Linked DNA regions of Mus musculus. The protein of the gene in region 1 interacts with the protein of each later gene in a pairwise test. Links are inferred from orthologs where the notes say so. Each region holds a gene or a part of one and is shown in the gene's direction. Other genes may lie near its edges.

Region 1 (10,665 bases):
TCAAGATGAGTGTATCTTTTATTTTATGTAATTTGCAATCTGTTCAATTATTTAGTTGCTGTAATCTAGTAGGCAGTAAATGTTTGTTAGCTTTTTTTGTTTTGTTTGGTTCTGAATGACATAACAGGCTACTTCCAATGCAAACATATACTATAATTTAAAATCTGTCACAATTTCGAGGGCCCTGTGTACACTGGGTGTATTAAGCACTCTTGTGCTCCCTCTACTGCCTCAGAGAACACATTCATAGCCAAGACCCCAGCACACTCAGTCCTAGGGGGTTCCATAATTGGTGAAAAAGGGCTCTTCAAGGATGGAGGACTATTTCGTTCATGTGTATATATGGTCACCCCTCAATATGAGGGCTAGTTTTTGGGTCCCCCTGAGACACCCACATCTTAGACTGTACAAGTGTAGTGTTTGGATATGGAGTACTCACATCCTGTTACATGCTTTACATTATAAGTAATTTAAGTTAACAGTATAACTCTAAGTTATCAGTAATCTCGAGGTTATTCATAACACCTAGTGCAACGGAAATATCCATCATTCTGTATTGTGCATAGAATAATGACGAGTGAAATGTCTACAGGTATTCAGTACAGATGAATACACACACACACATATGTATATGTGTGTATATATATATATATATATATATATATATATATATATGTGTGTGTGTGTGTGTGTGTGTGTGTGTGTGTGTGTGTGTGTGTGTGTATTACCAGAAGCTGATTAAATTTGAGAATACAGAGGTCCAAGTGCAATGTGAATTTTTTCCCATTGGTAAATTTAATTAGTATGAAGGTAATTCACTGGAGAATTAGATTCTGTATGTGGGGCCAAGTGTGCTGAGGTAGCGCCCCAAAGAACAGACCAGTGTTCTTCATGCTGGGTTGAGCCAGTCCCCAGCAGTTGGTTCAAAGGCAGACCCCACCTGCCTAGTGTGGGGTAGGATCCTTGACTCAGAAAAGCTAAAATCCCCTGAATGGTGGTGCTGCAGCAGCTGTGGCTGCATTAACTATCATGCTTGCAAATGCAGAAGTGTGACAGAAGAGTCTTGTGACCTAAGAAATAGTTGCTAGACCATTTTGACCTTTCAAGAGTAGACAAGACAAAAATCAGCAAAACAGAAAGAAGGTGGGGGGTGGGGGAGACACGTCTTGAGACTTGTTGTAAGACAGGGAGGTCCCGAGCGTGGACCTCAGCACTGCTTACAGCTGAGCATCCCATGGGTCTGTAACCTCAACTTGGAGTGGGAAGAGACAGGAGGCAAAGACTAGGTGTGCTGATTTCCAGCCTAGTCTAGAAAATATGACCCTTTAAGTTTAGGTAGAGACCTTGTCTCAAAGGAATAATCAGAAAGTGATAAGAGGACCCTCCTCTCTCTCTCTCTCTCTCTCTCTCTCTCTCTCTCTCTCTCTCTCTCACACACACACACACACACACACACACACACACACACACACAGGTTAGTACCTTATTTTTAAATATATTTAATATATATTAAACATCTTAAGTATTAATATATTTAAGATATATGTATCTTTAATATATATCTTTAAAAAATAAATAGAAGGTACTAACATTTCTTTTTACATTAAATAATACATAACACACATCAGGAGCAAGGTTCAGCAGGGCCTCCTTCCTCAATTTTGCTTCACTACAGAGCTCGACCGAGTCTTATACAAACATAATATCAGATTTGGGGGTAGGGGCCAGTGCTATATAGCTGCCACCTTGAAAACCTTGTTCTTTTTCCATGGAGGTTTTATTTCCATGAGAACTTTTGCTTTTAGAGAGCCTCTCCTGTTCCTTCTCAGATGGTGCGTTTGACATTTTGTCTTCAGGAAATGAAACATCTCAGTACTCAAGTAAGGAAACTGCTCTATGAGTATTATGTTTGTGTTGGAACTTGCAGGAAGCAATAGCTGTAGGTGTGTGTGTGTGTGTGTGTATGTGTGTGAGAGAGAGAGAGAGAGAGAGAGAGAGAGAGAGAGAGTGTTTATGGCTTTAATCTTAATGGTTAGGAAAGTAAACAACACATTTCTTATTAATTATTTTTACTGTATGGATAATGTACATATTTAGCTTTCTTCAGGGAACATTTAAATTAATCGACTACGTCTAATATGAATTATGTGTTTTAATATGTTTAAGGTTGTTAAAATAATGCAAATTAACTGCTTGCACCAACGTAATAATTACAATATTAGGAGGTTTTTTCCCCTTGAAAATTCTCTAAATATAAGATGTCTAAAAATAGAGTGGAGGTGGATTGGACAGTTTACAGATTATGAGCTGGAATAAAAACATCTCAGTTATGCCAAAAACATGGCAACCAATATTTTCTGTTATAAAAATATTTTAGATTAAATTTGTTTTTTTTTTTATATGAAAGCTGTCTGCAAGTGAAGCGAATAACAGAAGCTTTGTCGGTTTCACAGGCCAGCCGGAACAATACCTGTAGCACAAAGCAGACGCCTTTCCCACAGGCAGCCAGCGAGCGTCTGCTCCATTTCAAAGACAGCTTTACCAAGAGGGAGCGAAAAGACACCAGTCAGTTAAGCTCTGAACTGTTAACCTTCACCTGGATAAAGCTCAGGAGGGAAAACAAAACTAGACAGAGCCCCGACAGGAAACTCAACGTTAACCGTCCACTAGAGGCTGTAATGAGACCAACAATGTCACTTTAGCATATGAAGTCTAATAATCGCGGATCCTCAAGTGAACAACACAGTTTATAGGGAGTGGGGGCGGGGGGGGGCGGTGAGAGGGAACAGTTGTAGTTCTATTTAAGCAACCGTGGATGTGTGCACGGTATTTCAAAACCTGAGAATAGATAATGTGTCCTACACCACAAACACACACACACACACACACACACACACACACACACACACACACACCACTGCATCTCTTTTATTTTATTTTATTATTATTTTTTTAATTTAACTTCTGAAGTGCCGGCTCCACAATACAGTAGTTTAAACGCGCACACGTTTCTCTTGGTGATTCTGTACGCTGCTTCAGACAGTGACTAATTGTTGGGTCATACGTAAACGGAGCCAAAAGGTCTCTCAAATCCGGCTTAGAGTCAATAAATAGTAGTGGCTTCCAGCGAGACCAAGGGATCGAGTTTCCAGACTCTCAGTTCTAAGCACCTGAAAGAGGTCAGATGCTGGCCTGACACCTACTGGTCTTCAAGAATTTTCTGCTGCAAAGAGAACGCGGCACTGAGCGACCCTCGTGGGGATGTGATGGCTCTTCTTTCGGGTGCCACACCTGTTGGCAAGGTGAACGCCTCCAGAGAAGAGTTCTTCCCTCGAGCTTACGCTTGGCTGAGGTGTAGCCGGAGGGGGCCGGGTGGGGAGTCCACGTCTGCGTTTAGCCACCGGGACAAGGTGGGTGGGGGAGCGTTCCTTCGCTTGGTTTCCCCGAGAACCACCATCGACTGACTGCTCAGTGCACAGGTTACCTCGCTTGCGATGAAATGAATGATCCACAGTTAGCCCTGAGGAGTGAGTGAGGTCGGTTACCAGGGCTAGCTAGAGCTGAGGCGTTCCATGCCCACAGCAGATTTCGAGACCAGCAGAATTTGAAAGGAGGACCGGGAGGTCGCCAGCTTGTCCAGGCAGGAAAGGTGAGGGTGCCAGTGCAAGCTGGGGAAGCCTGAGAACTTTCCCGAGTTGCAAGCCAAGGCAGCAGGCGCGGGCCTTGCCTCGGATGACGCAGGGCTGGCGGGTTGGAGGGTTAACAGTAAGGATACAATGAGTCCTCTTTAGATGCTCACCCGGGGGGCACCAAGGGCACTTCGTAATTAGAAATCAGCCGACTTCCCCGCCCCCTTGGGTATTTTACCAAGTAGGAGCCAAATCCTGACACCCGTCGCTGCGAGTCTCCCAGGTTGCCTGAGTTGCACCCTGCACTCACCCTGTCCCCCTCCAACTAGGTTGCAGGGAGCCGGGGAGGCGCGCGAGCACCGATCGGTCACCACTCCAATGACCTCATCGCCCCAACTTCCCCGCCCCTTTCTCAAACCTGGAAGGCACAGTCCCCTCCGGTCGGTGTCGGGGATCCGGAGCCACAGTTGCGGAGAGACAACCCGGCCTCCCCTGGAGCGAGCGCCGCTCCAGCCCGGGTGCATAGAAGGGTTAAGGGCGCGGGCCGGCAGCCGCGCCGTGCGCTCGCCGTGCTCTGTGCGGCTCGCCGGGCCGCCTGCCAGAGGGTGCCTCCCCCCCCCCTCCCCCCCCATGAAGTCGGATCCTTGAGCTGCGGCGGCGGCAGCCAACTGCTCCATATTTGGCTTCTATTACACATTTACATACTGGAGCGAGCGAGCGAGCGCGAGAGAGAGCGCGAGGGAGGGAGGGCGGGCGGAGGGAGGAGGGAGGGGAGGGGGGAGGAGGAGGAGGAGGAGGAGAGAGCAGAGTATACCGCAGACATCATTTCTACTACAGTGGAGGAGCCGTACAGGACCTGTTTCACTGCAGGGGGATCCAAAACAAGCCCTGTGGAGCCGCAGCTAGAGCTACAGCAGCCGCAGGACACTGTGTCTCTCCCTCTGTTACCCCTTCCCCACGCAACCCCAGATCCATTTACACTTTACAGTAAGTGGCTATTTTTTTTCCTCCTCTGATTCTTTCTCTCCCCCTCCCCCTTCCACCCCGATTTAGATTAAAATCACCCCCTCCCGCACCCCAATCTGCTCTCTCCGGAGAGGGGCCAAAGAACATCCAGCATACACCCCCCCTCCCCCAGTCTCAATGGGCTGCACGGAAAACAGCTGGAAGAGGAGCGAAGGAAACCGACGCGTCGTGGTGTGTGTGTGTGTGTGTGTGTGTGTGTGTGTGCAGGCGCGCGCGCGAGTGTATGTGTGACTGTGTGTACATACACTAGTGCCCGGCTCCAGCCTCCCGGCTCGGGACCCCCTCTGGGAGCAGGAGCGGCTAGCAAGGGCAGCAGATAGGGGCTGGGTGGGCGGCCGCCAGGAGAGGGGGCGCGCCCGGGCGGGGGGCGCGGGTGGGGAGAACGGCGGCGCCCCGTTTCGGCTGCTGCCGGTCCGGCGGCGGCGAGCGGATAGAGCCCGGTCCTCCTCCTTCCGTGTGGCGCAGGGGGAGGCGGCAGCCGCGGAGGGTCGCGCTGCCCTCTTCGCTCCTCTCCAGTCCCCCCTCCCGGGTGGGGGCGGTGAGCGCTGCGGGGGCTCGAGGGAGGGCTGGGCTTCCCCGCCCGGGGTCGCCTAGCTTGACAGAGGCAACCCCGAGCTTGGGGTCTCCCCGCCTAGGCCAGCCTCTCGGGGCTACGAGGGGACCAAGAGGGGACTTTGCGTGAGGCTAGGGGCGCGGAGAGGTGGCGCCTCAGGAGGCAAGGGCGCGCGGGCCATCGCAGCGCAGCGGGAGAAGACCGGCCCTAGCTGCAGCTGCCACCGCCGCCCTGTTGGTGCGGCCGCTTCCTGATCCAGAGCAGCAGCAGCAGACGCCGCCGCCACCGCCGGAGCTGGAGCCGGGAGCCCGCGAGCGCCCCAGCCCGGCCCGGCGACTCTGCCGGCGCCCGCAGCAGTAGCGGAGGAGCTGCGGGCGCTGCCCTGCGCCGGGACTGCTCTGCTGCGCGGCGGCAGAGAGGGTGAATGAAGACGGGAGGAGGGGAAGGAGGAGGTGGCGGCGGAGGAGGCGCTGCGGGGATTGGGATGTGCCCCGGAGCCCCGCGGCTCGTTCACTCGGGGCCCGAGTCGCCGCCACTGCCACTGCCAGGGCTGCCGCCGCCACCGCCGCCGCCTCCTACGTGGTTGCAGCCGAGCGCGCAGGCCGGTCCCGCAGGGGGCAGGGAAGGGGCCGGACGGGCGGAGCGAGAGGTGAGGCGGGGTCGGAGAGGAGGGAGTAAGTGCGTGTGAGTGTGTAGGTGCGTGTGTGCGTGTGTTCGCGCGCCGGGCGGGGACCAGGACCATCGCGATGGGGAGCGGGGAGTGGGGGTGGGGGTCCACGGTGGTCCCTTGGTTGACTCTGCAGCGCTTCGACCTCTCTTGAGCCGCCTCCTTCAACTCTGTGGCTTGTGCGCTTTCATTTTATTTCAGACCACGTAGAGAGCTGACTGCAAGAGGTGAAACAATTCAGGTTTTCTAGGGAGATTGAGCAAGGACCTTAGTGGTGGGGGGTGGAAGTAGGGTGCTGTATCTAGACTCTGCCAGGGGCGCGGGGGGTGGGGTGGGGGGAGGATCAGGGGTAAGAGGATGGGGTTTAGTTCGATCCCGTGGCTGTCCTGTTTTGTTTTGCTTTCTTGCTGTATAATCCTACAGATAAGAGGGCAATATAAATACTTGGGGAAGGTTGGGAAATTGCTGAAGAGTAGTAAGGGCGGAAAAAAAAAAAAAGAAGCCAGTCGGAAGCTGGTTATATAATGCGCTATGTGGCTAACAAGAAAGGCAAGCTATTTTTATTTTGTTTACCGTATGTTGTGCAGTAGGAACTCCTCCAAACTGGTTCTGTCCCCGAAGAGGTTTCTTAGTTTGTCAGAGAGAGAGCCACAGGATACAATTAGTAAAATTAGAAGACCCCACACCACCTACAGAATAAAAAGTAATGCTTTAGAGTTCTCACCTCACATTCTGCCTGGTATGCAGGGGAATGTGTGTATGCCCTATGTTTCCCTGTAGCAACCTAGTAGTGTCATCTCAGTGACATTTCTGTTTTATAATGCGAGCTCTTCTTAATATTTAAACAGCACTGCTATAGATCGTAGGCAACAAGGTAGTTACATGCTGGGTATTTTTAGGCGCAGCTGGTTACTTTTTTGCAATAGTGTTTGCTAAACCGTGTCCAGCTTTATGAAGAGCCCTGCCATTCCTAGAAGCCTGGGTTAAGCCTACCCTCTGGTTTACTGATGGTGGGTGGGTAGCTAAGACAGTTTGATAGCCGAGGGTTTTTATTTTTATTTTATTTTTGAATGAAGCTTATGCCAGGGGAAGCTAGAGGTAGCCACCAGAGAGAAGAAAAAACATGCGCAAGAACTCTTGGAAAGGGATTGCACCATAACAGCTTAGCTGTGGCATTTAATCTCCTCTGATTGTCCTCTAACTGGCCACGCATCAGTCAATATTTTAGCAGCTTTGCAAATAAATTGGCTTGAACGCCACCTTCCACATAAAGCTGAGGCTGAGAAGCCTCCTGCCTGTCTGCCTCTCTCATCATAGATACTGTCTGTGGTGTTAGTTTTCTGTACACTTACTCCAGCCCTGATCACTCATGTAATTAGATCAGGTTGCCATGGCTACAGACAGTGTTCCTTGGCCCATTCAGGTGGGTTTGCCTGAACTACTCCAAGTGTTTTATGCACAGTATTTGAGCTGCCCCGAACCGGGAGGGGAGAGACTTCACTGTTTCAATTGCTGTCTTCTTTCAGTCAGGAGACACTGAATGGGGCTTCGAGCTACTTAGCTTTTCTAAAGGGAAACCAACACGCTGTTCCTACTGGGGACAGTATGTAAATGCATCTCCCCAGATAGAGAAAGGAGCCTCACAATCCTGCTGGTGTTCATTGTGAGCAGATCAACAAGTATTTGATACTTGCTAGAAACCTTTCAGAGCTGACTAAAGCAACATTTTCTTTTTCAGTCTAGAGCCTTTGGCCTGGTAGGCACTTAACCCTTTCAAGTGTGAGAGGACAGCACACCCATGCTTTATAATAGAAATTGCTGACAGTGTTGGCTGGCTTTCTAGATGGTTTACATTATGAAAAGGAGATGACTTATCTGGCAAGCCTATCTCCACTGTTACAGTTTTAAACTTTACAGTCTACATTATAAAAAAAAAAAAAAGGATACTGACAGTAGGCAGGCATTGTGAATATTATCTTCCTTAATTTGGATCTGTTGCTCCTGATCTTTGATATCTTCAGAAGTAATTGAATATATATATATTGCAGCTAAGTGAGAGATGATACAAGCCATTCTATTGCTTGGAGCTTTACACAGTAAACAGTTTGTATGATACTACGGGTATAATTTAATGAACGTCTAGAGAGCTGCACTCTAGCACTTACGTTGGGCACCACCTTAAGCCTACTAAGGACAGAAAGATTATATTATAACTGAAAAGATAACAGAAAAGTAGCCCAACATTGCTCAGACAGTCCAAATGAAGGGGAATGTTTTAGGAACTTTGAATGTGACATGATTTAGTTGTGACCCTGCCAGTCAGTTTACAGTTTTAAAGCCATGTAGCTAAATCGGTTAAAATAGAAGAGAGAAAGACATATAAAGAGACACTCACCCCCCCACACACAAATCTCTCACCTCTCCAGTGCCAAGACTGAGAAAGTTGTGCAGTTTTCTTCCCAGGGGGTTTCTCAGTTTCCCCTGGTTACTGAGTTTATGTGGTGGGCACATTACTGTGGCCTGGTCCAGTAAAAAAAAGTATCACTGGTCCAGTGAAAAAAAGTATCACTGTGGTTAAAACGAGCTATTATTTCTGAGAGGCGAGTTCATGTGAAACCAGGATCTAAAATAAGAGGACAGAAATTTTAAGTTTTATCCACACCTTGGAGGGCCTCGATTCTATTCTGCGACAGACAGAGAAACGGCTTGACTTGCAGTTAGACGTGGGCCTGTGCCTTTCAGTGTACAAATGAGCTCTTGCCAAAATAAATACGAGAAGTGTCTGTACTTGATGGAGAACTGGAAAAGGCATCGTGTCCCTTCCCCCAGCCCCCATTTCGTTTTAAGAGGGCTTGGCAAGCAGTGGTATTTTGTTAGAAATAGCATAAAGAGACTTCAGGCCTCCCAGTTAGTTGCCTTTGAGAGAAAGATTAGAGAAAGACTCTTGAGCCATCAGGTTACATATCAAATAGCAGAAGATGGCCAAAAATTCCCAGTGCCCAGAATCCCAGGAACCAGGAACGGCCAGTGTGAAGAAACAACTAAAACGTTAGTCAACACTCCTATGACTCCCAGTCTGGCTGTCCTTAAAGTTCAAGGATTCACGTTCCTTTTGTATAATGTGACTTTGTTTTCTCTCCCGTGTTGAAATGTCAAGTGGATTTTGCTCCTGCACATACCTTGTAAGACGGCTTCTCCTGCCAAATAGACTGTAGCAGTTCGCCCTGCTTCCTATTAGGAGTCAGTCAATAAATGTACTTCACCAAAACCCTGAGCAGAACTCACATAAGCAGCTGAGTGTGGGAGTGAATGTTAATTTCTCTGAACTGGAGTCATCTGAAGACTCCGAAAAGCTTAAATACTTGCATATGAAAAGAGCCTTCTCAGGAGACAGCCTGTCAGTTTTTTAGGGGCTTGGGGCTGACTGACTTTACAGGCTTAGTATTTTTTTCGGAGTGTCACACAAGTCTGAATAACTGGCTTCAGAGAGAGAGGGAGAGAGAGACAGAGACAGAGACAGAGACAGAGAGAGAGACAGAGACAGAGACAGAGACAGAGACAGAGACAGAGACAGAGACAGAGAGAGGTTTGTGCAACCTGACTGCTTCGAAGAACAGACTTTGATCCTGGTCGTCATATTTCCCACCTGATAAGATTAACTGGTGCTTTTCCTATTTTGTTAAATGTTTGTTATAGACAGAAAATTGTAGAAATGGCAATGGAGGCCACCATTTCTACCTATGCAGTTTACTCTTTCGCTTGTTGCTTAAGATGTGAATGTCAGAGTCCTCAGTAATACTATCTCAGTTGCATTTAATTTCATTTAGTACAATAAATTCACTCATCGCAATTCTGTGAGCGGTAACATGATGTGCACATAGGATGCTAGCTTTATATAATTGGAAAAAATATTGGCCGTAAGAATTGTAATTGGTTTGAGTTTTTTTTTAATAAATTCTTAAAATTACAGACGAAAAGGAATGTCGTGAGATAATTTATCTTTATTGGTAGAAACAGCGTTTTTATTTTTTCTTTCCTAATTTTATTTTTATGTTTTTTTTACTCTAATCAGCCTAATGGCATATTTTATAGTCCTTATAAACCTTAACTCTTTAGGATAATTTAGTATAAATATTTGTACTTCCTGTTATTACTACTCCCACATGAACTAAAGCATGTTTAGAGCCATAATAGACAAACAGAGCAACTCGAGTCCTCCTTTGTGTGGCCCGTTGGACGTTAGCAGCCGTGTTCCATTGCTTTTTCTATAACTCTTAATGTATGCCATTTGTGGGCTAATGAAAACGCAATGATGACCACCCTTGTGTAAACAAAAATGGTGTTCTACTCGAAAAAGCCCTTTTCAGAAAACTGGAGGTGTTAAGAAGACCTCGGGGTAGGTGGTCCCATGATTGCAGGGCTTCATCTGATCTGAGAAGGACTCAACCTGCTTCCACCGAAATGCCCTTTAAGTGCGACAGGTTTAGAGTGACTTATCAGGTGCTTTTAGTGGCGATTCCAGCTGCCAACCTGTAAGCATGTCTGCTTCTTACGGAAAGAAAAGGCATTTTCTTGCCACTGTGTATGGCAGACTTTCTCTCTTCGTGCCCTCGGCCCTGGTCCTGATGCCTGTGTTCCCTCCTGGTTTTTATACATCATCTCAGTTTCAGTTATTTGGGGCCACCTTGCTTGGTAATCTTTCACTATTAATAGTATTGTGTTTCTCGGCTTTGTGCCTTTGAGATATTAAAGATTCCAATTTTAGTGTATGCAGTGTTTTATAGTTTATT
Region 2 (10,647 bases), on another chromosome or scaffold:
CAGGTTATTCTTACAGTTTTTTCACACAGTGGTGAAGTTTTAAGAACATTGTCTCTTAGAATTTAAACATGCTTTATCAAATAAGAGGATTGGTACAGATGCTATAGAAATTTATAAGGTTTTTATTTATAATTTAGTAGTATAGAGCAACTTAAACATAGGACGGCCCCATCACAAAAATCAAGAAATAAGAGTAAGAAGTTTTGTTTTTACTGACAAAACTCAGATAATAGGGTTTCAAATGGCTAATGATGTTTCTATTAATGACATAAAAGTTAATATTCTCATTATGAAATCAACTTGAGCCTAGGTATATTCTTGCTGTTTTGAATTCACTTGATACTATTTTTCTTGTTGAATCTCTTGTAATTTTTATGACTTTATAAATGTAAAGCTGTTGCCCCAAAGTGTAAATTTCCATGCTGTGCACTTCTTGTAACATTTTCTTCTGACATTAACTGTTTACCCACCTGTTATTCCTAGCCTGTTGGTCCTCTGCAGTCCTCTTCTCAGCCTGTTCAGTGCTCTCCAGCCCCCTACCCATCCCCGCTCCTGCCAGTCTCACCCACCCAGCAGTACTCCGTGGTACTGTATCTCCTTTCACCTCACTGTTACTATGGGCATTGTGTGATGAATGCTTCAGACTGTGCTCAGTGTGATTTGCTCTTTTACAGGAAGTTACATAGGTAACAAAGGTTTTTTCTAATTCTTATTAATAATAATTTATTCCTTTTCATAAGACAGTGATTATATCAACTTATAGTAACTATAAAAGACTTAATATTATTCCTATTTTTCAGAAGGGAAGTTTTCAGGTTGAATGTTCTGAACTAAGTAGTCTCAGATAGTTTAGTTTGTTTTTTTTAAATCGAAGTCAGTTTTGAGTCTATGTAGTCCTGGAGGGCAGTGTCATAGAGTTCTAATTAAAACACCATTACTAAGATCAAGATGGGAGGAAAGAGTTTATTTCATCTTACCTCAGGAGTCTAACTATATTTCTGTGGGAAGTCAGGGCATGAACTCAGGGCAAGAAACTGTAGGTAGGAGCTGAAGTGGAGGCCATGCAGGGCTGCTGCTCATTGGCTTGATACTCATGCCTTACTCAGCCTGCTTTCTTATACAACCCAAGAATACGTACTTGCCCGGTGGTGGCATCGCCCACAATGGGCTGGCCCTTATGACATCAATCACTATTTAAGAAAACATACCACAGACTTGCTGACAGGTTAGTCTTACTGAGGCTTTTTCTTTTTTTTTTTTAAAAGATTGATTGATTGATTGGTTGATTGATTGTTTGATTGATTGATTTGGTGTATATGAGTACACTGTCTTCAGAAACACTAAAATAGGGTATTGGATCCCATTACAGATGGTTGTGAGCCACCATGTGGTTGCTGGGAAATGAACTCGGGACCTCTGAAAGAGCAGTCAGTGCTCTTAACTGCTGAGTCATCTCTCCAGCCCCATTAAGTCATTTTCTTAATGAGAGTCCATCTTCCCATGTGACTCTAGTTTGTGTTGTGTTGACATAACTCTAGTGAGAACAGGCAGCTTTCCTTTTTAAGTACTAGTTAGGTACAGTAGGTCAGAAGCAGTTACTTTCGATGGATTGCAGCATGTAGCTATAGAGAACTTCTGACTTTATCAGAGGTCACTTGACACTTAATTTCTTACTGTAAGATAATACCCTTAATCCAAAGTATGCCCTGAATTATAGTTGTCAGGGTCTGTGAGATCAGGCCCGCACTGCAAGTAATTAGCTTTGTGATGTTAAAACATTGCATCTTTTCCCATACATGAACTAGCTTCTACTTTTAAAAAAATTTGCTTTCTTTAAAGTGAACTTCCTGAAAAACTTGCTTGTTTTTAACTAGGGATATTCTATGTTGACCTGTCCTATGTTGGATGCTTTTGCTTTGAATTGAGGAGACAATATTTATCAGCTTAATCTCTCAATGATTTTATGAAATAACTTTCAGCCTACAAGAAAGAGAAACATGAGGCTGGAGAGGTGGCCCTTTGGTTAAGAGTACTAGCTGCTCTTCAGAGGACCAGGGTTCAGTCTCCAGCACCCACGTGGTAGCCCACAATGCCTTTAATTCCAGTTCTAGGGAAGTCTGACACCCTCACACCCATGCACATGAAATAAAACTGTTATTAAAAAAGGAAACATTATCTTTTATGAATGGCTCTTGTACTTATACTACTTTTTTAATATTTAGCCATATTATTTTGTAATTTAGAACTAGGAGTATTTTCATATATAAGAAGCCGTTTCCATATATTCTAAGTCTGTTGCTTCCTAAGAGCGGGCATTTCATTTTAACCCTATGCTGTCATTTGGGTGACCAATAAGAGATCATGCTTAGGCTGTCGAGTTAGGAGCTATCTGTCGTATGGCACATAACTCATAGCCTTGGCTGTAGTCCACTGGTTGCTTAGCAACGATCCAGAAACAGGACGCTTTGATATAAAGTATCCTCCTGTTTACATTGAGCGGCAGACTGAGAAATTATGCCTATATTATTTTTTGACATATTAAAAAAAGGGAATGACTAGTTAGATTTTGATAGTTGGAAATGCAGAAGAGAAGAGCTATTTAAAAGTCATTTCTCACAGAAAATACTAAATATGTAATATAAAAATGTCCAGGTTTGCTTCTGAACCCAAGTCAACATTTAAACTTCATTAAATACATGTAGCTTTGTTTTTTAAACTGAAAAATGCACTCTCATCTTTTTCTCATGCTATGATTTCCACTAGGTATATTTTATAAATAATATGTAATATCATTATATCTTCCCTCCTACATAGGAGTTCTCATTTTCTTGAACCTGCTGTCTTATATCTTATCTGTTATACATGCATGTGATGCCCATACATATACTGCTACAGCTTGCTTACAAATATATAAAGTGTAATTGAGGAAAATACGTAATAAAAAATATTAAAAATAAATAAATAAAATAAAATAGAAATATATATATATAAAGTGTAGGGCTTGGGTAATATAGCTCAGTTAGTAGAGTGCTTGCCTCATATCAAATTGTCTTGGGTTCCGTCCTAAGCACTGCACAAATTAGACATTGTGATTTATAGCTGATCTCCAGCATTCAGGAAGTGGGAGACAGGAGGATCAGAAATTCATGAAATTTTCAGCTACGTAATGATTTTGAGGCTATTCTCTGAGAGATGAGATACTCAAAGGGATGTGGGGTGTAGGGTGGGGGTGTATTGTAGCATTTGCATTGGTAGGTTTGGCCCATGAATGAAAGGCTGACTGATGGCCAACTTTTTTTCAACAGGATAACCTTGGCGCTCAGTTCAGCCATATGAGTCTTGCCCGCCAGCCATCAGCTGATGGTTCTGACCCTCATGCCACCATGTTCCAGTCCACTGTTGTACTACAGTCTCCACAGCAGTCTGGTTACATCGTGACGACAGCACCTCCACATCCGCCACCACCACCTCCACCACCTCCCCCTCCTCCTTCCCTACCACCTGGGCAGTCAGTCCCCACTGCCAGTTTCTCTGCCTCTGGGCATCCTGTCAGCCAGCCTGTGCTCCAGCAGCAGGGGTTTCTTCCTCAGCCCTCACCACAGGTGTGTTGTTTTTTCACGTTCTTTCTCTCTCAGGAACCTCTAACTTGGGAACAATTTGTGAGGTAGTGTAAGTAAAGCCCATGGTTATCTCTGGAGATTGTCAAATGCCTAGGGAGCAGCCATATAACATTTAGTTACAACTCAACGTACGTCTTCTTTGAATTTCCCTCTGACTCTGAGAAGTGGGTTTTTTTGTTTGTTTATCTTAGGAAAACATAATAAGTGTGTGTGTTAGTTAGGGTTACTATTACTGTGATGAAATACCATGATGAAACAAAAGCAAGTGGGGAGGAAACTGTTTATTTCATTTGGTTTACACTTTCACATCATAATCTATCATTGAAGGAAGTCAGCAAAGGAATTCAAAACAGGACAAGAACCTGGAGGCAAGAGCTGATGCAGAGGTCATGGAGGGGCGCTGTTCAGTTAACTGGCTTGTTTATCCTGGCCTGCTCAGGTTTCATTCTTACAGAACCCAGGACTCCTTGCCCAGGAATAGTACCACCCACAATGAGCTGGGTCCTTCCTGCCAATCACTTATTAAGAACATGCCTTAAGGCTGGCTGTTATAGAGGCACCTTCTCATTGAGGTTCCTTTCTTTTCAGATGACTCTAGCCTGTGTCAAGTTGATATAAAACTAGTCCACCAGTCGGCACAAAGTATATATGACAGCATTTCAAAAATAGGCCAGGCTGAACAGAAGTAGCATCATAGTGGCAACTTTCCTGTTATAAACAAATCTCTCCGTTCACTTCCTTTGATCTTAATTGTTTTCACTATGTTTAATGTGGGTTGGGGGGGGTGTTTGTTTATTTGTTTGTTTTGTTTTGTAGGGAGTAAATTTGAGACAGTTTTTCTATATAGAGCAAGGTTTCCTGAAACTTGCTCTGCAGACAGGATGACCTCAAACTCAAAACTCCCATCTGTTTCTGCCTCCCAAATGCTGTAATTAAAAATGTGCACAACTTGGCTTGACTGTTTTGCCAAAATAGATAGTACATATTTTATTTAGTACACTTGAAACATTTAATGTCTTTAGTTGCTTCTACAAAAGGAACTGTTTTTAAGTTTCACTTTTTTATTTGTTCACAACAAAGGGAATTTGAGCATAGTGATTTTATATCCTGTGGATTCTCTTTCTCTTCTGTTTAGCTACTTCCTCTGAATTGAAACATTCCTCCTTGGTGGTAGGAAGGAAGCTTATATAGTCAGAAAATAAGCAAGACTTACTAGTCTCAGAGCATCAATGAAACTTAAAATTATCAAGAAGGTCCTAAAACAGAAGATCACAAGGGCCTCCCTGATGTTACAGCAACATGTGCTGAGAGAGATTCCTCTCCAGACTAGAGTGTAACTGCCTCTAGTTGTTCAGGGAGTTCCAGTGATACAATTGTCATGAGTTGTCACATGCACTTCAGTGAGCTATTCAGTAATGCAGTGTTTGTCTTTTATTCATCCAGTAAACTCATTGGGTTTGCTAAGCTAGATGTTCCTGGCCTCGTTTCTCTGGTCTGTTGTTTGTGCCATCCAGGGTGTCTTGGATGAATAGACGTTTGTTCACATCTCCCCAGGTAGAGGCAGAATCAGGCAACACCTTTCCATGGATATTCATTGTCATAGTGGACTAAGTTCTTAGTGGGTTTTTCTTGTTTTGCCAGGTTGGTTTTTTGTTTGTTTGCATTATCTTTTCAGGTTAGTTTGTCTTGATTTTGCCTTTCCTTTAACAGCCATTATTAATCCAAGCAATCATTGTGCACATAGTAAGGATATACTCTACCATTAACCTACTAGCTTTCTTATATAGCCTTTTTATGGAGTGAGGTTCTAGTTTTATAGAGTTCTTAGAATTGTGTATATGACAGATCATTTCTCCACAAAAGATTGTTTCTGGGCTTTTTTTTTTAACCCCTTCACTACAACTGTTCGAGATCAGATTAATTTAAAAAACAAACTACACTACGTGTAATGGCACATTACTTTAATGTCAACACTCAAGAGGCAGATGCAGGTGGATCTCGAGTCAGTAGTCAGCCTAAACAGAATTCCAGATCAACAATGACTACATTGTGAGACCCTATCTCAAAAAAGAAATGGGTAATATCTAAACACACTATCTAGAAGGTATTCTGGTCATCTTCTTACTGTCTTTCCACTTTGCCCCCTCTTCAAAGATTTTCTTTAAACACCTTTGTAAAATGTTTTCAACTGGGCATGGGCTCCTCACTGATACTTACTCTCTTGGTTTTAAATAGTTGTGAATCTCTGTAATGGTCTCTGTTGCAAAAAGGTTTTTTGCTACACTTACTTGCCTGTATAAGGATAAATAGAGTACAATTTTAAATGATTGGGAAAATAATGGTTATGGCTTCTCACCAGCATTTATAACCTCTGCAGCCACAGACGAGGTGTATGTACCAAGCAAGCATGAACTCCCTCCTATTGAGTAGGTGTTAAATCCAATTAGACAACTGTTGGTAACCCATAGATAAAAGTGCTGGTTTTACTTCACTGGGGATCCCTTGTCCGGCTGGCATTGTTGTGATTTGTAGCATGTACAGGTAGGTAGGGTTGTTGATTGCTTTTTTTTTCATTGTTAGCTTGCATAGCACCTTTTGATAGTGTGAGAGCTATTCCTCAGGGAGGAGGCTTCCAGTCACTTCAACTCCACTTCCCCAAGCCCTGAGTCTAAATTATGTGGTGTCCTCAGATCTTCGAGATCTGGAAGCAGCCATGAACAATGGTAGCTTTCAGTAGTATTTCAGCCAAGCAAACTTGGTTTTATTAAAAAAAAAAAATGTGAAACAAATACAGCAATAAAATTAACAGCTAAAAGTGATTAGTGAGCACAGTGGTAAATGTCTTTTGCTCTGTGTGGTTTGGTTTGAGGGATTGTTTGTTTTGTTTGAGACAGGGTCTTTCTATTTAGCCCTGGCTTACCTGGAAGTCACTATGCAGACTAAGTTGGCCTCAAACTCACAGAGATCCCCTTGCCTCTGTGTCCAGAATGCTAAAATTAAAGGCATTTGTTGCCACACCCACGGGAGGATATCCTTTTAAAGATACCTGAAACCTGGACTTTATTTTTTTTTTCCATTTAAATTGAAAAATCCAGTTGGTTTTAAAAGGGTTTATAATTACTACTCATTGAATGTGCTTCATGGAAAAACTACTTTTCCAAATGAAACTAATTTTTGTCCTCGTGGCTTACAATTATAGATGCCAGCCTGTTACTGTGCTCCAGGCCACTATCACTCCAGCCAACCTCAGTACCGCCCTATCCCTTCTGTCCATCACAGTTCACACCTAAACCAACCACTGCCACAGCCTGCACAGCACACAGGTGAGTTGTCTCCATGCCAAGGTTTTCAACTCTGGACGTTACTTTGCTTCCAGTTTTACTTTATCCTTTACATTAAGATTCTATTATGCTCAATCTTTGAGGATCTCAGGGGTGTGTGTGTGTGTGTGTGTGTGTGTGTGTGTGTGAGAGAGAGAGAGAGAGAGAGAGAGAGAGAGAGAGAGAGAGCTCTAGTCACATTACGTGAAGAGTAGAAAATCATATCTTTCTTTAGAAAACTACACAGATTTGTGTGATAAAGGGATGAGGGCATAACATGAAGGTTCTGCAAGGTCAGGATCTGGTGAGTAGCTATTGGGTTCTCATAGTCTTGGTAGTAGAAGCCCTTTACAGAGCTATGTAAATCGAGATGGCCTCCATACTATAACCAGAAACAAAAAGCAGAATCTGTTAAATGGTTTCATTTGAACCTTAAATGTCAAAGATGGCTGAAGAACTGTATTCTTTTTCTTTTGGTTTTGGTTTTGGTTTTTTGGAGGGGTTGTGGTTTTTTGGGTTTGTTTTTTTTTTTTGTTTTTTTTTTGGTTTTTTTTTTTTTTTTTTTTTGGTTTTTTTTTTGGTTTTGGTTTTTTCCCAGAGAAACTTCTCTGTGTAGACCTGGCTCTCCTGGAACTCATTCTGTAGACCAGGTTGTCCTCAATCTTAAAGATCCACCTGTCAGAGTGCTGGGATTAAAGATGTATTCCACCACCACCTGGCTTGATGAACTGTATTCTTATACATTTTTCTTTCTCATTTTCAGTTTGATAATTATTTGGTGAACAAGAAACAAATAGAATCTACTACTGGAAGTATAAAAATTATTAGAACTCAATCTTGATTTCTTTTTGTCCTATTTTTTAAAGAATCTGTTGAACTGAACTCCAGTCTCATATTTTAGATACTGTATTAAGGGCTTGGTAATAATTTAGCAATTAGTGATTGCTTTACAAGGTTGAGCACCTGAGTGTAGTCCCTATTCCCCACATAACAACAGACATAGTACGATACTTATCATTGTAGCGCTGGCAAGGGAGAGAGGTGGATTTCTGAGACTTGATTCCCAGCCAACCTGGCCTGATTGGTGTACTCAGAACTAATGAGAGACTATTTTAAGAAGATAAGGTGCACAGCTCTTGAGCAATGATACCCAAGGTGATCTCTGGTTTGTACACATATGTGCACTCATTGATGCAATCCCACAGACACACAGAAAGCTGTCTTACTGATCTTAATGAGCTCATTTCTGTTGCCATCCTGGTTGTGTACTGTTACAAATTTTAATGCGTTATTTAATTAAAACCTGTGTTACGTAAATTAAAGAATTGAGATTAAATTTTATAATTGATTTCTGTAGAGCAGTTTGCGTTCTTTGTCATTGGCGAAGGTACAGATTCTGTGCAGAGGCATTTCAGTCAAGCTGCACAGAGGAGTCTGCTGTTATCAGTGCTGTCTCCTAACTCTTTAGACCTACTTCTGGACTGGTCATTCCAGTGAAAATACTCACTTCTTGCTTCTTGTACAGTGTAGTCAACAACTCCCATTGCAGATAAGAGTCATAATTAGCACAGCTCCACATCCAAACTTTTGTGTCCTTAACCTGCTATACCTGAAAGTTTTCTGTTCTTAGTGGTTGGGCTCCTTTTTCTGTTCACTAGCCCTACATTACACATGCAACAGGTATTTTCCTACATGCTTTGGCATCTTCTGATCATTTTAGCTAAACTATAATTTTTTTTGTCTCAAATATGACTCCTTTTAATGTCAGATTTGCCTGAAGCCTAGTAATATGGCCCATGTCAAAGAATATAAACAGTTTATATTTTAAGTTAAGAAGATATCAAAGTTGTTGCTAGCTTGCTAGTTGTCTCAGCAGGTAAAGATGCTTACTGCGCAAGCCTGACAGCCTGAATTTGATTCCTGGACTTCTGTAAAGGTAGAGGGGAAAGGACCAGCCCCACAAAGTTGTCATGTGTTCTATGACACATCATGTAAACTCTCGCACTCGTATCTTATAATTATAACTTTTTATAAAAGGTTTTTATAAAAATGAGATTGCTCATGAACATTGATCATACTATTGCTCATTTAAGGTCACATAGACAATTGTATTATTCTAATAAAAATGATATTCTAGCTGGGACCAGTGACATATGCCTATGCTAGCGCTATGTGGGCTGAGGTTAGGAAGATCACAGCAGGGTTAAGGTACACTTGGGCTGTATAACAGCACCATATGTCAAAATTAAAACAAAAACCTTAAAAAATAATAGTAAAGAAAGCATTTTTTCTGTGCTTTCTTGGGCCTGAAAATAATTGACTTTTCGTAGTGTATATCTTTTTTGTTTTGCCTTCTAAAATTATAACATCTGATGTGATTTGTTTTTATTTATGGTTTTTCCCCCTGTGGTCCTGGGTATTAGACTCCAGTCTTTGTCTATGCTCAGCAGGCATTTGCTGCCTGGCAACATCCCTTCCTGTGATAGCTCACTAATTTTATAAAAAGTAAATTGAGTACTGGAGCAATGGCTTAGAGCTTAAGAGCACTTGCTCTTGTAGAGGACCCTGGTTCAATTCCTAACACCCACATGTGGCTCACAAACATCTGTAACTCCAGTTCCAGGGAATCCAAAGCACTCACCTGACTCCACAGACACCAAACCTACATGTAGGCTTCTACAACACTTATGCACATAAAATACCTTTAAAAAAATCAAAAAAACTTCAATAGAAAAAAGTAAGTTGGGGCTGGAGAGATGGCTCAGTGGTTAAGAACACTGGCTGCTCTGCCTTAGTTCAATTCCCAGCACCCACACGGTGGCTCACACCCATGTGTAGTGAGATCTGATGCCCTGTTCCACTGTCTGTCTGAAGACAGCTGCAGTGTACTCATATAACAAATGAATAATTTTTTTAAAGTAAGTTGACTCTCATGCCATTTATTTAAGTACTTTTTATATGACTCTCTGTGTTATCAAACCCTGTTAATAGGCAGCAAAGGTCCTCTGCTGTGTATTTATGAAAGCTTTTAGTTTTATCTTCTTTCTGAGGTAAAAATGTATTTCTTACCATAATCAGTTTATAAAATAAAAACTTAGTCACCTGTTGGGACTGTAGTACTTAATTCAGTTGCATCTCTCCACACAGTTATCCCCACTTAATTAAAAAAAAAATTTTTTTTTTAATGCCAAATAGACATATCTATGTGGTAGAAAGTATCACTATCTATCATTTGTGTTAGTTTAAGTGTGGATTTTCAGGTGTTAGTTAAGACAAAAGAGAAGAACACAGTAAGCCAACCTGCATCTGGACAGCACAAGTGCAGAAAAGGTCAACCTATCTTCAATAGTTTGTGACATTATCTGACTCCTAGGTGTCAGGTATAATAAATCACTGTGATGAGAGCTTGAGCTTTTATTTATTTTTTGTATTTGCCTAGTAGTAGCTAGCTTAAGTTGTTAGTTTTGCCTCATTCTGTTTGAAGAATAAGAAGAAAATCCTCAAATATTCTGTTATGCTTGTAAGTATAGAAAGAATATATAGAAATAGAAACATTACCTTTATGGAAATTTTCAATAAGCAGAAGCAGTTATGTGTAGGTAATTGTACTAGCCTTTTTATAGAACTGGTGGGAATTTGAACTCTTTTAAGCAAAACTGAATCTTAAGACTATAGTTTGCTAAGTTTTTTTATACTAAGACTTAAAA
Region 3 (10,647 bases), on another chromosome or scaffold:
CCTCTGCAAGTCTTTCTGTATTCGGGACTCAGATGTCAGAAGGAGCAGAGTAGGGTCAACACTGGGAAGCCTCATGCCTGGACTCCAGCCCCCCCCCCCCCCCCCGTGTTGGGGTCAGGGCTCTTCCCTGCCTTCAGTTGGGTGAGGTCAGAGGTTTTCCCAGGAGCTGTGCATGGTTTGGGGACTCTCGAGCACTTGCAGGCTGGACAGAACGGTGTCATAAAAAGATGTTTTCTTTGGAATGAACCTCCTATGAGGATGTGAAAAGACCTAGAAAGGGGATCAGGGGAATGTCAGACACACGTGTCTGTTTCCCAGACAAGACTCTGAAAAGAGAGATGGGCCACAAGTCCCTGACACACATAAGGTGACTACTTGGTCGCTGGACCCCTCACAGACTGTGTGAGTCCCTGGTCTGCCAACTAGGCTGCCAGACCTTGCTGGGCCACTGCCACAGAAGCTAGGTTGCTGGCCATCACTGTGTGGTGATGGTAATGGCGGGAGTATGTGTGTGCACATGCTTGTGTGTGCACAGGTATGAAAGCTTTCAATTTGCCAGCAAGGGACAGGGACAGATTTGGCATACCCTTAATATCCACTGCCTTTCCCTTCTGTCCCAGAGACTGGTTCCTGTGCAGGCCTTTGCAGAGTGCTATAAGAGAATCGAGTAAGGCTTCACTTGTTGACTGCTGGGGGCTGTGATACCTGGAGGGAAGACACTGACCCAGCCTAGGGGCATCAGAGCTGAGAGCAGGATATCCTGGACGCGTGATTTGAGGAAGGATTTCCCTAGCTCACTCCTGAAGGCAGTTTCATGAGGGATCCAGAACTGGATCATCAGCCCCCCCCTCCTTGAAACAAGTGTTCTCATCCTGGGGCGCTCTGCTAGCTAGATGACCCTGCACCACCAACTGCCACTATCTAAAGGCAACTATTGGCCTTCCTCAGACTGTAGGCAAATCTTGCTGCTGCCATTCGATGCGAAGGGCCAGGAGTGGGTAAACTGAGGCTAAAATGGTCCAGGCAAGTTCTGGGTGTGTGCGAACGAACCAGCGGTGGGAACACAGAGCTTCCGGGATCAAAGCCAGACGCCGTCCGGATTCCGGACCCAGGCTCTTTTCGGGGATGGTTGCCTGTGCGGCAGGGGTTGGGACGACAGTGACCGCCAGTAACCCCAGCGCGCGCTGGCGCAGACGCGGTTAAAGGCGGACGCCCGCTAGTAACCCCGGCCCCATTCAGAGCACCGGGAGAAACCCGAGCTGCCGCCGTCGGGGGTGGGCGGGGCCCTAATGGGGCGCGGCGCGGCTGCTGATTGGCCATGTGCGCTCACCCGAGGGGCGGGGCACGGAGGCGATCGGCGGGCTTTAAAGCCTCGCGGGGCCTGACAGGTGAAATCGGCGCGGAAGCTGTCGGGGTAGCGTCTGCACGCCCTAGGGGCGGGGCGCGGACCACGGAGCCATGGATTGCACATTTGAAGGTACTTTGGGGAGGACCCTGCACTCTATTACTTTGCCAGGGTCTCTGCAGCGGACTGCAGTACGGTGTTCTAACAGAGAATGCAGGACGGCCCTTCCCCACCTTGGGCTGGAAATTGGTGGGCCTCTTTATCCTGCTTAAGGACCGACACCTTGCAATTTGCAACTTAGACAACTTTCTCCACATCCTCTGCTTTCCCTCTGGGCAGGATCTGGAGAAAGAAACAAGAAGGCCACTGTCCTGTCAATCCTGGAGTTTGACCCATTTGGTGGCCCTAAATTGGCCATTTTGGACCCTCCAGCAAAAGGCAGGCTTTCCAGCCCTATTAGTTTTTCCTTCTTGACCCTGGTTTCCCCAGTTGGCAAATGGCTAATGTTGAGTGGGCATGAGAGATGGAAGGTCCTATGATTAAAAGTACTATTTATGACCTGCATAAATCTGGAGAGTCTGCAAGCATCCAGAAGGCTGAGCCTGCCACCCTGTTTTTTTCACGGCAGTCTCTCCCCTGCAGTTACACACCACTTGCTCAAACATCTGTCAATGGGCAGTACTGATACCCTGCTCTGGTGGGCAAAGCCTCACGCAAGGGTGTCAAACAAACGGTTTAGTTTTAGTCCTTTCTTTTTTGCAGAGGAGGAAACTGAGGCCCAGGGAGAGGAGGCAGGTGGCCTCCAGCGCAAGTGGAGGTGTGGGCAGGGGATGTGAGAGCAGTGTGGGCCCCCTAGTGTTATGCTCACTATATGCTATAGAGCCCTTTGACCCAAAAGGTGGCCTCCATGAGTGGGTGAGAGGGCCTGGACTGAGCCAGCCAGGCTGCTAGCTGCCAGCTGGGGTAGAGGGCCTGGAGCTGGGATGGTGCCAGGGAGGACTGTTCAGTCCCTGCGAGGAGGAAGGAGCCAGGATAAGAGAGCTTTTCCAGAGGGGAAACCAAAGCCAGAATGGCCAGACCCGGGGCCTTGGCTCCATGCCCAGAACACACAGGCACATTGGTTGGCTACTTGGCCAGCCACTGGTTCTGCTCCAAGCCTGGGTATGTGCTCTGCTGAGGAGTGGGTTAGCGATGGTGGCTTTGCCCCTGGCTTTTTGGTGGAACAAGGAAAGGTGCTGCAACAATAGCTCAGCCTGTTTGTAGACCTGGGTATGAAGTCTGTTGTGTGCTGTCTGTGTGCCTGTGGCCCTTGCACCAGTGTCCTTTCTTGCCTCCAGAGCAGGTGAGCACGCCCAGGTTGAGATGGTGGTCTGAGTAGGGGTACTGGCTAGCTCTCAACACTGTCAGGGAGATTTGGACTCAGTGAGACTAGGCCAGCTCAGTCACTTCACTTGTACAACAGGGCATCTGTTTGGCCTAAGCAGGCTCAGTCAGTATCTTGACCTCAGAGTGGGCTTGCTGCTTGGCCAGACCCGATATGCTGACATGGACCTTACTTTTTGAGTCTGACCAAGATGGATAAGGACCTTGCCTGCCGTGGATGTGTGCCATGTCTGCTACTCTTGTTTGGGAGTTCCACTCTCAGAGGCCGTTAGAACGACCCTGTCTCTCTGTAGCTCCCTCTTCCCTTGTAACTGAGTGGGTGGGTGACATCACTGGAATCCCAGTGAGTCTCTGAGTTTCTGTCAAGTTCTGTGTGCAGGGGACCCTGTGCAAACACCCTTAAAGGAAGAGCCCTGGAGTGTCCGTGGGCATGGACGCTGCTCCAGTGTAAAAGCTCCTTTGTTCTGTGTCCCCTCTGCCCTACTGCCTGTTAGGACCTGTTCCTCTACTGAGAACTGGACCTCCTGAGTGTGTGAGGCATGCCCTTGTTTTACAGATTGAGAAATGGAAGCTCAACTGGGGCAGAGCAGGGCTGTCCACGTTGTAGACTGAGTATGTGTTCTTTTAACAAGCCATCCTGGTGGAGAGGGAGCAGCAAGGGCGGGAGAGGTGTCTTGGATGGCCTCCTGCCTTCGAGCAAGTGCTCAGAGTTCACCATGCAGTACAGAGGGCACCTGCATGGTTGCAGGACTGAGCAGCGGATGCCTCAGGACGGTGGGATTAAAGGTTCCCTTCGTCCATGGCAGGAATTCAGCCCAGAAATGGAGGTTGCTCATTTGATAGAGACCTGAATTTGATCCCTAAAATACTAGGTGCAATGGGGCTCACTTGCAGTGCCTGCATTCCCCAGGTTGTCTGTCAGTCTCCAGGGTCATGAGGGGGTGGGTTGGGGAAGTACTGCATACGTATGGACACGTGTGTTCACATTAAACAAACGGGACAGGCCAAGGTAGAGAGTTCAGTGGTGGAGTATGTGCTGATCATGTGCATTCTCTGCTCCACTCTGGCACACACAAAAACCCACCAACCCACGGATATAAAACACACTAAGAGAGGGGCCATTGAGCATTCTCAGGGAAGATCTTGGTTCTTGGGTGGGATTTGAATTTTCCTTCCTTGTGAGGTAAGGTTCCATCAGACTGCTCAGCTGGACGCTTACCCTTCTTTTGTTTTGTTTTTGTTTGTTTTTTGAAAGGATCTCACTCTGTAGCCCTGGCTGACTTGGAACTCACTGTATAGACCAGACTGGCCTTGAACTTACAGAGATCCACTTGCCCCTGCCTCCCAAGTACTGGGATTAAAGTTGTGTGTCACAAGCCGTCTGGCTGGACTTGGATTCTCGAGGATAGTCTCCCTAGTAGCTGAGACCCCAGCGTTGCTAGGCATAGCATAGCATAGACAAAGTTTTTGTCTGTTCTGTTCTTTGATTCCAAGCCTTAGGGAGAAGGGGGCCCAGGAAGAAGGCCTTGCCTGGTGTAGGCACTTGGTACACGCTGAGTAGGTGAATGAGTGAACGCACAAATGTGGCCCTGCTGTGTGCTATGCTGGGGATGTTAGGAGATGTTGGTGAGAGGCAAGAGCCTTGAAGAGGACAGTCTCAGCCAGCCACAGCATGAAGCGCAGGCTAGAAATGAGTAAGGATTCCAACAGTACAGGCCTTCCTTGGTGTGCCCAGGACTGTCACCTGCACACATCACAAGCGGCTGTGTGTGGAGCTGGCCTCCATACCCTGCTGCCACTCACTCACCGCGTCGTCTCCTCCCCCAGACATGCTCCAGCTCATCAACAACCAAGACAGTGACTTCCCGGGCCTGTTTGACGCCCCCTATGCTGGGGGTGAGACAGGGGACACAGGCCCCAGCAGCCCAGGTGCCAACTCTCCTGAGAGCTTCTCTTCTGCTTCTCTGGCCTCCTCTCTGGAAGCCTTCCTGGGAGGACCCAAGGTGACACCTGCACCCTTGTCCCCTCCACCATCGGCACCCGCTGCTTTAAAGATGTACCCGTCCGTGTCCCCCTTTTCCCCTGGGCCTGGGATCAAAGAGGAGCCAGTGCCACTCACCATCCTACAGCCTGCAGCGCCACAGCCGTCACCGGGGACCCTCCTGCCTCCGAGCTTCCCCGCACCACCCGTACAGCTCAGCCCTGCGCCCGTGCTGGGTTACTCGAGCCTGCCTTCAGGCTTCTCAGGTGAGCGAGTGATGGAAGAAGAGTGGCCGCTGTGCTCTTACAGAGGAATTCCCAGGCTTCAGAAGTTAGGTGGTCATCCTGCGACCTGAGATGCCCTTTGGTTCTGGGCCCAGTGCATCCCCCCAACCCCCAGTTGTGCAGCTGGAAGGTGACATGTGCAGGGTCTGTCCTGCTATGAAGTAATGGGGATAGTTATGTGAGGCCAGTCGGGGTAAAGGTCGGCAAGGCAGCCTGTGCCAGCAACCTTAAACTCTGTCTCTGCAGGGACCCTTCCAGGAAACACTCAGCAGCCACCATCTAGCCTGCCGCTGGCCCCTGCACCAGGAGTCTTGCCCACCCCTGCCCTGCACACCCAGGTCCAAAGCTTGGCCTCCCAGCAGCCGCTGCCAGCCTCAGCAGCCCCTAGAACAAACACTGTGACCTCACAGGTCCAGCAGGTCCCAGTGAGTGGGTCTGACCAGGAAGGTGGGGGGTGGGGACGCCTGGCTTGGATGCTGCTCGCTTACAGCTTGGCCCCTCCCATCCAGGTTGTACTGCAGCCACACTTCATCAAGGCAGACTCACTGCTGCTGACAGCTGTGAAGACAGATGCAGGAGCCACCGTGAAGACTGCAGGCATCAGCACCCTGGCTCCTGGCACAGCCGTGCAGGCAGGTCCCCTGCAGGTAGATGGCTCAGGCACAAGGGAGACTATGGGGGGGGGGGGAGGGTTGGCTGCGCATGTGTCTGTCCACCTGGTGAGATGCATCTGACCCCACAGACCCTGGTGAGTGGAGGGACCATCTTGGCCACAGTACCTTTGGTTGTGGACACAGACAAACTGCCCATCCACCGACTCGCAGCTGGCAGCAAGGCCCTAGGCTCAGCTCAGAGCCGTGGTGAGAAGCGCACAGCCCACAATGCCATTGAGAAGCGCTACCGGTCTTCTATCAATGACAAGATTGTGGAGCTCAAAGACCTGGTGGTGGGCACTGAAGCAAAGGTACGGCCAAAGGCCTGCGAGACTCAGGTCAGGGTGACCAGGGAAGAAATGGGGCACATCAGCCAGCCGGGGATGGGATTAGGTCAGTCCTCGTCACTTAGTCATATGCATCAACTTGTCTGGGTCTAGGCAGTCCCGTTTGCGGAGTTAGGTCTTATCAAGGGCAGCCTGGATAAAGAAAGCTGGTCTATGCATTGAGGGGGCGTGGTGATGAAGCACAGAAATCCTGTCCTGGAGGAACTGACTCCCTAGGGGAGTAGTGGGAATTGCAGCGGCTGGCTCCCATGTTCGGGGAAGAAACCAGGACCAGTGAAAGTTGTGGTTGTGAACTGGGTGGTCAAGGAAGGTCTCACCGTAGAGAGCTGAGGGTGTAGGGAATGTGAGGTGGAGACAGCAGGGGCCGCAGCTGGGAGACACCGTTGTGAGTATTCACAGGGTGACTTTTATCTCTGCCCTGTGGAGTGGGTACTGTCAGGAGACAGCAGCATAGGAGAGTTGTAGTCAGAAGGAACCGTCCCGTCCAGAGGCCCCGAGGCAGCTGTGACGCAGAGCGGCTCTTACCTGCTCTCGTACCTGTGGTCAGGTCCACTTGGCTGGCTGAGCCCTCTCCCTCTCCTCACAGCTGAATAAATCTGCTGTCTTGCGCAAGGCCATCGACTACATCCGCTTCTTGCAGCACAGCAACCAGAAGCTCAAGCAGGAGAACCTGACCCTACGAAGTGCACACAAAAGCAGTGAGTCCCAGCCCCTCCCCCCCGCCCCCCCCCCCTGCTGTCCTGGCCACTATGCCGTTGCTGTGAAGACACTATGACCATGGTCAGGTTTATTAAAGGCTTACAGTTTCAGGGGTGAACCCATGACCACAGTGGTGGCGGCAGGCAGACAGGCTTGGCGCTTGGAGCAGTAGCCGAGAGCTCAAATATTGAGACAGCCACAAGGCCAAGAGAAAGAGCTAGCTGAGAATAGTGTGGGGTTTTGAAATTTCAAAGCCTACCACAGTGACACCCCTCCTCCAGCAAGGCCACACCTCCCAATCCTTCCCAAACAGGAATGGGAACCAAGCGGTCAAACGGGACCCTCTGAAAGCCATTCTCATTCAGATTGCCACCCTGATGCTGCCTTCTCTATCCCTGCCCAACCTTGTCTCTGGCTCTCACCCTACCTTGGCCCCTGTTTTGAGCATAACAGAACCATCCAAGTCCTGGCGCTTGGCGGCCAGGCCTCTCTCACCAGCCCTGTTCTTTCTGCCTACAGAATCACTGAAGGACCTGGTGTCAGCTTGTGGCAGTGGAGGAGGCACAGATGTGTCTATGGAGGGCATGAAACCCGAAGTGGTGGAGACGCTTACCCCTCCACCCTCAGACGCCGGCTCACCCTCCCAGAGTAGCCCCTTGTCTTTTGGCAGCAGAGCTAGCAGCAGTGGTGGTAGTGACTCTGAGCCCGACAGTCCAGCCTTTGAGGATAGCCAGGTTGGACTCTGCAATATGGCCCCTTCCCTCTCCCAGCAGCCCTGCAGTCTCCTCCACCTTTTAGCCTCGCCTTTGGGGCTAGCTGAGCTCTATGCCCTTACCTCCCTTGCTCCCTGCCAGGTCAAAGCCCAGCGGCTGCCTTCACACAGCCGAGGCATGCTGGACCGCTCCCGCCTGGCCCTGTGTGTACTGGCCTTTCTGTGTCTGACCTGCAATCCTTTGGCCTCGCTTTTCGGCTGGGGCATTCTCACTCCCTCTGATGCTACGGGTACACACCGTAGTTCTGGGCGCAGCATGCTGGAGGCAGAGAGCAGAGGTGAGTCAGGTCAGCCCAGGTGTTGTCGGCAGAGACCTTTGGGACTTTGGATTTCCGGAGAACTGAGTTCTCAGACCTTTTCTTTGCCTGTAGATGGCTCTAATTGGACCCAGTGGTTGCTGCCACCCCTAGTCTGGCTGGCCAATGGACTACTAGTGTTGGCCTGCTTGGCTCTTCTCTTTGTCTATGGGGAACCTGTGACTAGGCCACACTCTGGCCCGGCTGTACACTTCTGGAGACATCGCAAACAAGCTGACCTGGATTTGGCCCGGGTAAGGGGCTGACCCTGAGGAGGCGGGGTGGGGCCCCGGGCCTGGAAGGTGCTGGGTGCCTCTGCTCACTTCATTTTCTCCAGTCTGTCTCATCCCCCGCCTTCAGAGCTCCTGACTCTAGGGGCCCAGACAAGGGGGTACCCTGCTGCCATCCCTGCTGCCATTTTTCTTACTGAGAATCTTTTCTCTAGGGAGATTTCCCCCAGGCTGCTCAACAGCTGTGGCTGGCCCTGCAAGCGCTGGGCCGGCCCCTGCCCACCTCAAACCTGGATCTGGCCTGCAGTCTGCTTTGGAACCTCATCCGCCACCTGCTCCAGCGTCTCTGGGTGGGCCGCTGGCTGGCAGGCCAGGCCGGGGGCCTGCTGAGGGACCGTGGGCTGAGGAAGGATGCCCGTGCCAGTGCCCGGGATGCGGCTGTTGTCTACCATAAGCTGCACCAGCTGCATGCCATGGGTATGGCTGGCTGGGAGCTGGGCTCCGAGGGTCCCCACCACACCGTCACCTCCTGTCCTCATGCCTCACCCACTTTGCAGGCAAGTACACAGGAGGACATCTTGCTGCTTCTAACCTGGCACTAAGTGCCCTCAACCTGGCTGAGTGCGCAGGAGATGCTATCTCCATGGCAACACTGGCAGAGATCTATGTGGCAGCGGCCCTGAGGGTCAAAACCAGCCTCCCAAGAGCCCTGCACTTCTTGACAGTGAGTAGGCTGATGGGGACAGGGCTGGGGGCTCCTCTTTACAACTCTCAACCTGTCACTTCCAGGGCAAGGGGCTAAACAGGATGTGGCAGTGGTTAGCAGGTGGGCTGTAGGCCCTCCTGGGATCCAACTGGGAGCCAGTGTGACAGTTCTGTTCCTTCCCTACAGCGTTTCTTCCTGAGCAGCGCCCGCCAGGCCTGCCTAGCACAGAGCGGCTCGGTGCCTCTTGCCATGCAGTGGCTCTGCCACCCTGTAGGTCACCGTTTCTTTGTGGACGGGGACTGGGCCGTGCACGGTGCCCCCCCGGAGAGCCTGTACAGCGTGGCTGGGAACCCAGGTGCTTTCTCGTTCTGTTCTTACCCCTGCCTCATCCCTGTCCCTATGTCACATTGCACTGTCCCCTCTTCTCTGAATGCCCTCACTTACCAGCTTATATTGCCCTGTGGGGTTGGGGCTGTGAGGTGGCTATGAGGTGGCTTTTGCTGGATTTTGCCAAGGTTCTTTAGAAGCAGGAAGCAGTATGGGTCAGCAGACAATGGGGGACATGAGAGGTGACTCTAGGGGACACCATTGTTGTCTTAGGAAGAGTCCTGAGCAGAGTCAGGGCCATGGGTATGTGACTAAATAGGCTCTCCTTTCCAGTGTGTAGCTTGTGCACAGCCTACCCCTTCTTCCCCATCAAGCTTATGAGGGCAGGGACCCATCACTGTCTGTCTGTTAGGGTTTGGAACTAGGAAGTAGCTCTGGGTTGGGGCCCCAGCTTATTAAGGCATTGGTGTGGGAGGGGACTGTAGAGAGGAGGGTGCCTAACCTCTGTTCTGCTCACCCTTCTCACAGTGGATCCGCTGGCCCAGGTGACCCGGCTATTCCGTGAACATCTCCTAGAGCGAGCGTTGAACTGTATTGCTCAGCCCAGCCCAGGGGCAGCTGACGGAGACAGGTGAGTTTGTCTGTGTCACTCCCAGGCAAGACCTACAACAAGGGCATCTGGGAAAGCCTTGTCCAACCTCTTGAGTAGCCAGACTCTGTTCTCAGAGCCTCTCTGGGTCTTGCTTTCCCCTATCAGCCAGACAGGTGGTATTTTTGTAGAATCCTAGGGTCAGACTATGCTTGGTTGGACGGTTGGTGAGAGCCATTTTCACCCAGAACCCGAGACTGCTGCTATGTGTCCTGACAGCTCTCTCCTGCCTCAGGGAGTTCTCAGATGCCCTTGGATATCTGCAGTTGCTAAATAGCTGTTCTGATGCTGCCGGGGCTCCTGCTTGCAGTTTCTCTGTCAGCTCCAGCATGGCTGCCACCACTGGTGAGCTCCAGACCCCCGTCCTGACTCCTGCCAGACCCAGATACAGTGTGGCTGAAAGTCAAGCACCTTTCCCTCTTCTGTAGGCCCAGACCCAGTGGCCAAGTGGTGGGCCTCACTGACAGCTGTGGTGATCCACTGGCTGAGGCGGGATGAAGAGGCAGCTGAGCGCTTGTACCCACTGGTAGAGCATATCCCCCAGGTGCTGCAGGACACTGAGTGAGTCCCCAGCCAGGTCCCTCCCGCCCAGTCAGCCCCGCAGTACTTTGCTTAAATATCTGTACAGGAGGACAGTGCTGTCCTCCCAGGAGTCTAGAACCGTGGCGGGAGATCTCAGGGAGGGCTGTAGTTTGGTCTAACTTCCTATGTCTGCCATGGCCCCAACAGGAGACCCCTGCCCAGGGCAGCTCTGTACTCCTTCAAGGCTGCCCGGGCTCTGCTGGACCACAGAAAGGTGGAATCTAGCCCAGCCAGCCTGGCCATCTGTGAGAAGGCCAGTGGGTACCTGCGGGACAGCTTAGCCTCTACACCAACTGGCAGTTCCATTGACAAGGTGAGGGGTAGGGTGGGTTCCTGTCTAGGCCAGGGTCACAGCTGTCCATTTCCAGGTTCTTGGTGTTAGTACAGAATAAT

What was found.
Region 2: the proteins of Atxn1 (region 1) and R3hdm1 interact in binary tests that used the Homo sapiens proteins (3 or more experiments, as listed by UniProt). The link is inferred for Mus musculus from reciprocal best matches to the Homo sapiens genes ATXN1 and R3HDM1.
Region 3: the proteins of Atxn1 (region 1) and Srebf1 interact in binary tests that used the Homo sapiens proteins (3 or more experiments, as listed by UniProt). The link is inferred for Mus musculus from reciprocal best matches to the Homo sapiens genes ATXN1 and SREBF1.

The regions. Positions count from the first base shown.
Region 1 is NC_000079.6:45,958,766-45,969,430, reverse strand, and holds the start of Atxn1 (ataxin-1), read left to right. Parts: upstream 1-4,439; 5' UTR 4,440-4,616; intron 4,617-4,805; exon of another isoform or gene 4,806-4,826; intron 4,827-5,046; exon of another isoform or gene 5,047-5,857; intron 5,858-5,993; exon of another isoform or gene 5,994-6,102; intron 6,103-10,665. UniProt on the Homo sapiens protein: Chromatin-binding factor that repress Notch signaling in the absence of Notch intracellular domain by acting as a CBF1 corepressor. Binds to the HEY promoter and might assist, along with NCOR2, RBPJ-mediated repression. Binds RNA in vitro.
Region 2 is NC_000067.6:128,190,155-128,200,801, forward strand, and holds part of R3hdm1 (R3H domain-containing protein 1), read left to right. Parts: intron 1-483; coding exon 484-585; intron 586-3,305; coding exon 3,306-3,602; intron 3,603-6,819; coding exon 6,820-6,943; intron 6,944-10,647.
Region 3 is NC_000077.6:60,201,166-60,211,812, reverse strand, and holds part of Srebf1 (sterol regulatory element-binding protein 1 isoform a precursor), read left to right. Parts: intron 1-1,327; exon of another isoform or gene 1,328-1,458; coding exon of another isoform or gene 1,459-1,477; intron 1,478-2,552; exon of another isoform or gene 2,553-2,687; intron 2,688-4,555; coding exon 4,556-4,975; intron 4,976-5,239; coding exon 5,240-5,418; intron 5,419-5,502; coding exon 5,503-5,640; intron 5,641-5,735; coding exon 5,736-5,957; intron 5,958-6,579; coding exon 6,580-6,691; intron 6,692-7,211; coding exon 7,212-7,426; intron 7,427-7,546; coding exon 7,547-7,742; intron 7,743-7,835; coding exon 7,836-8,014; intron 8,015-8,205; coding exon 8,206-8,467; intron 8,468-8,547; coding exon 8,548-8,714; intron 8,715-8,882; coding exon 8,883-9,051; intron 9,052-9,485; exon of another isoform or gene 9,486-9,551; coding exon 9,552-9,654; intron 9,655-9,907; coding exon 9,908-10,017; intron 10,018-10,100; coding exon 10,101-10,233; intron 10,234-10,401; coding exon 10,402-10,567; intron 10,568-10,647.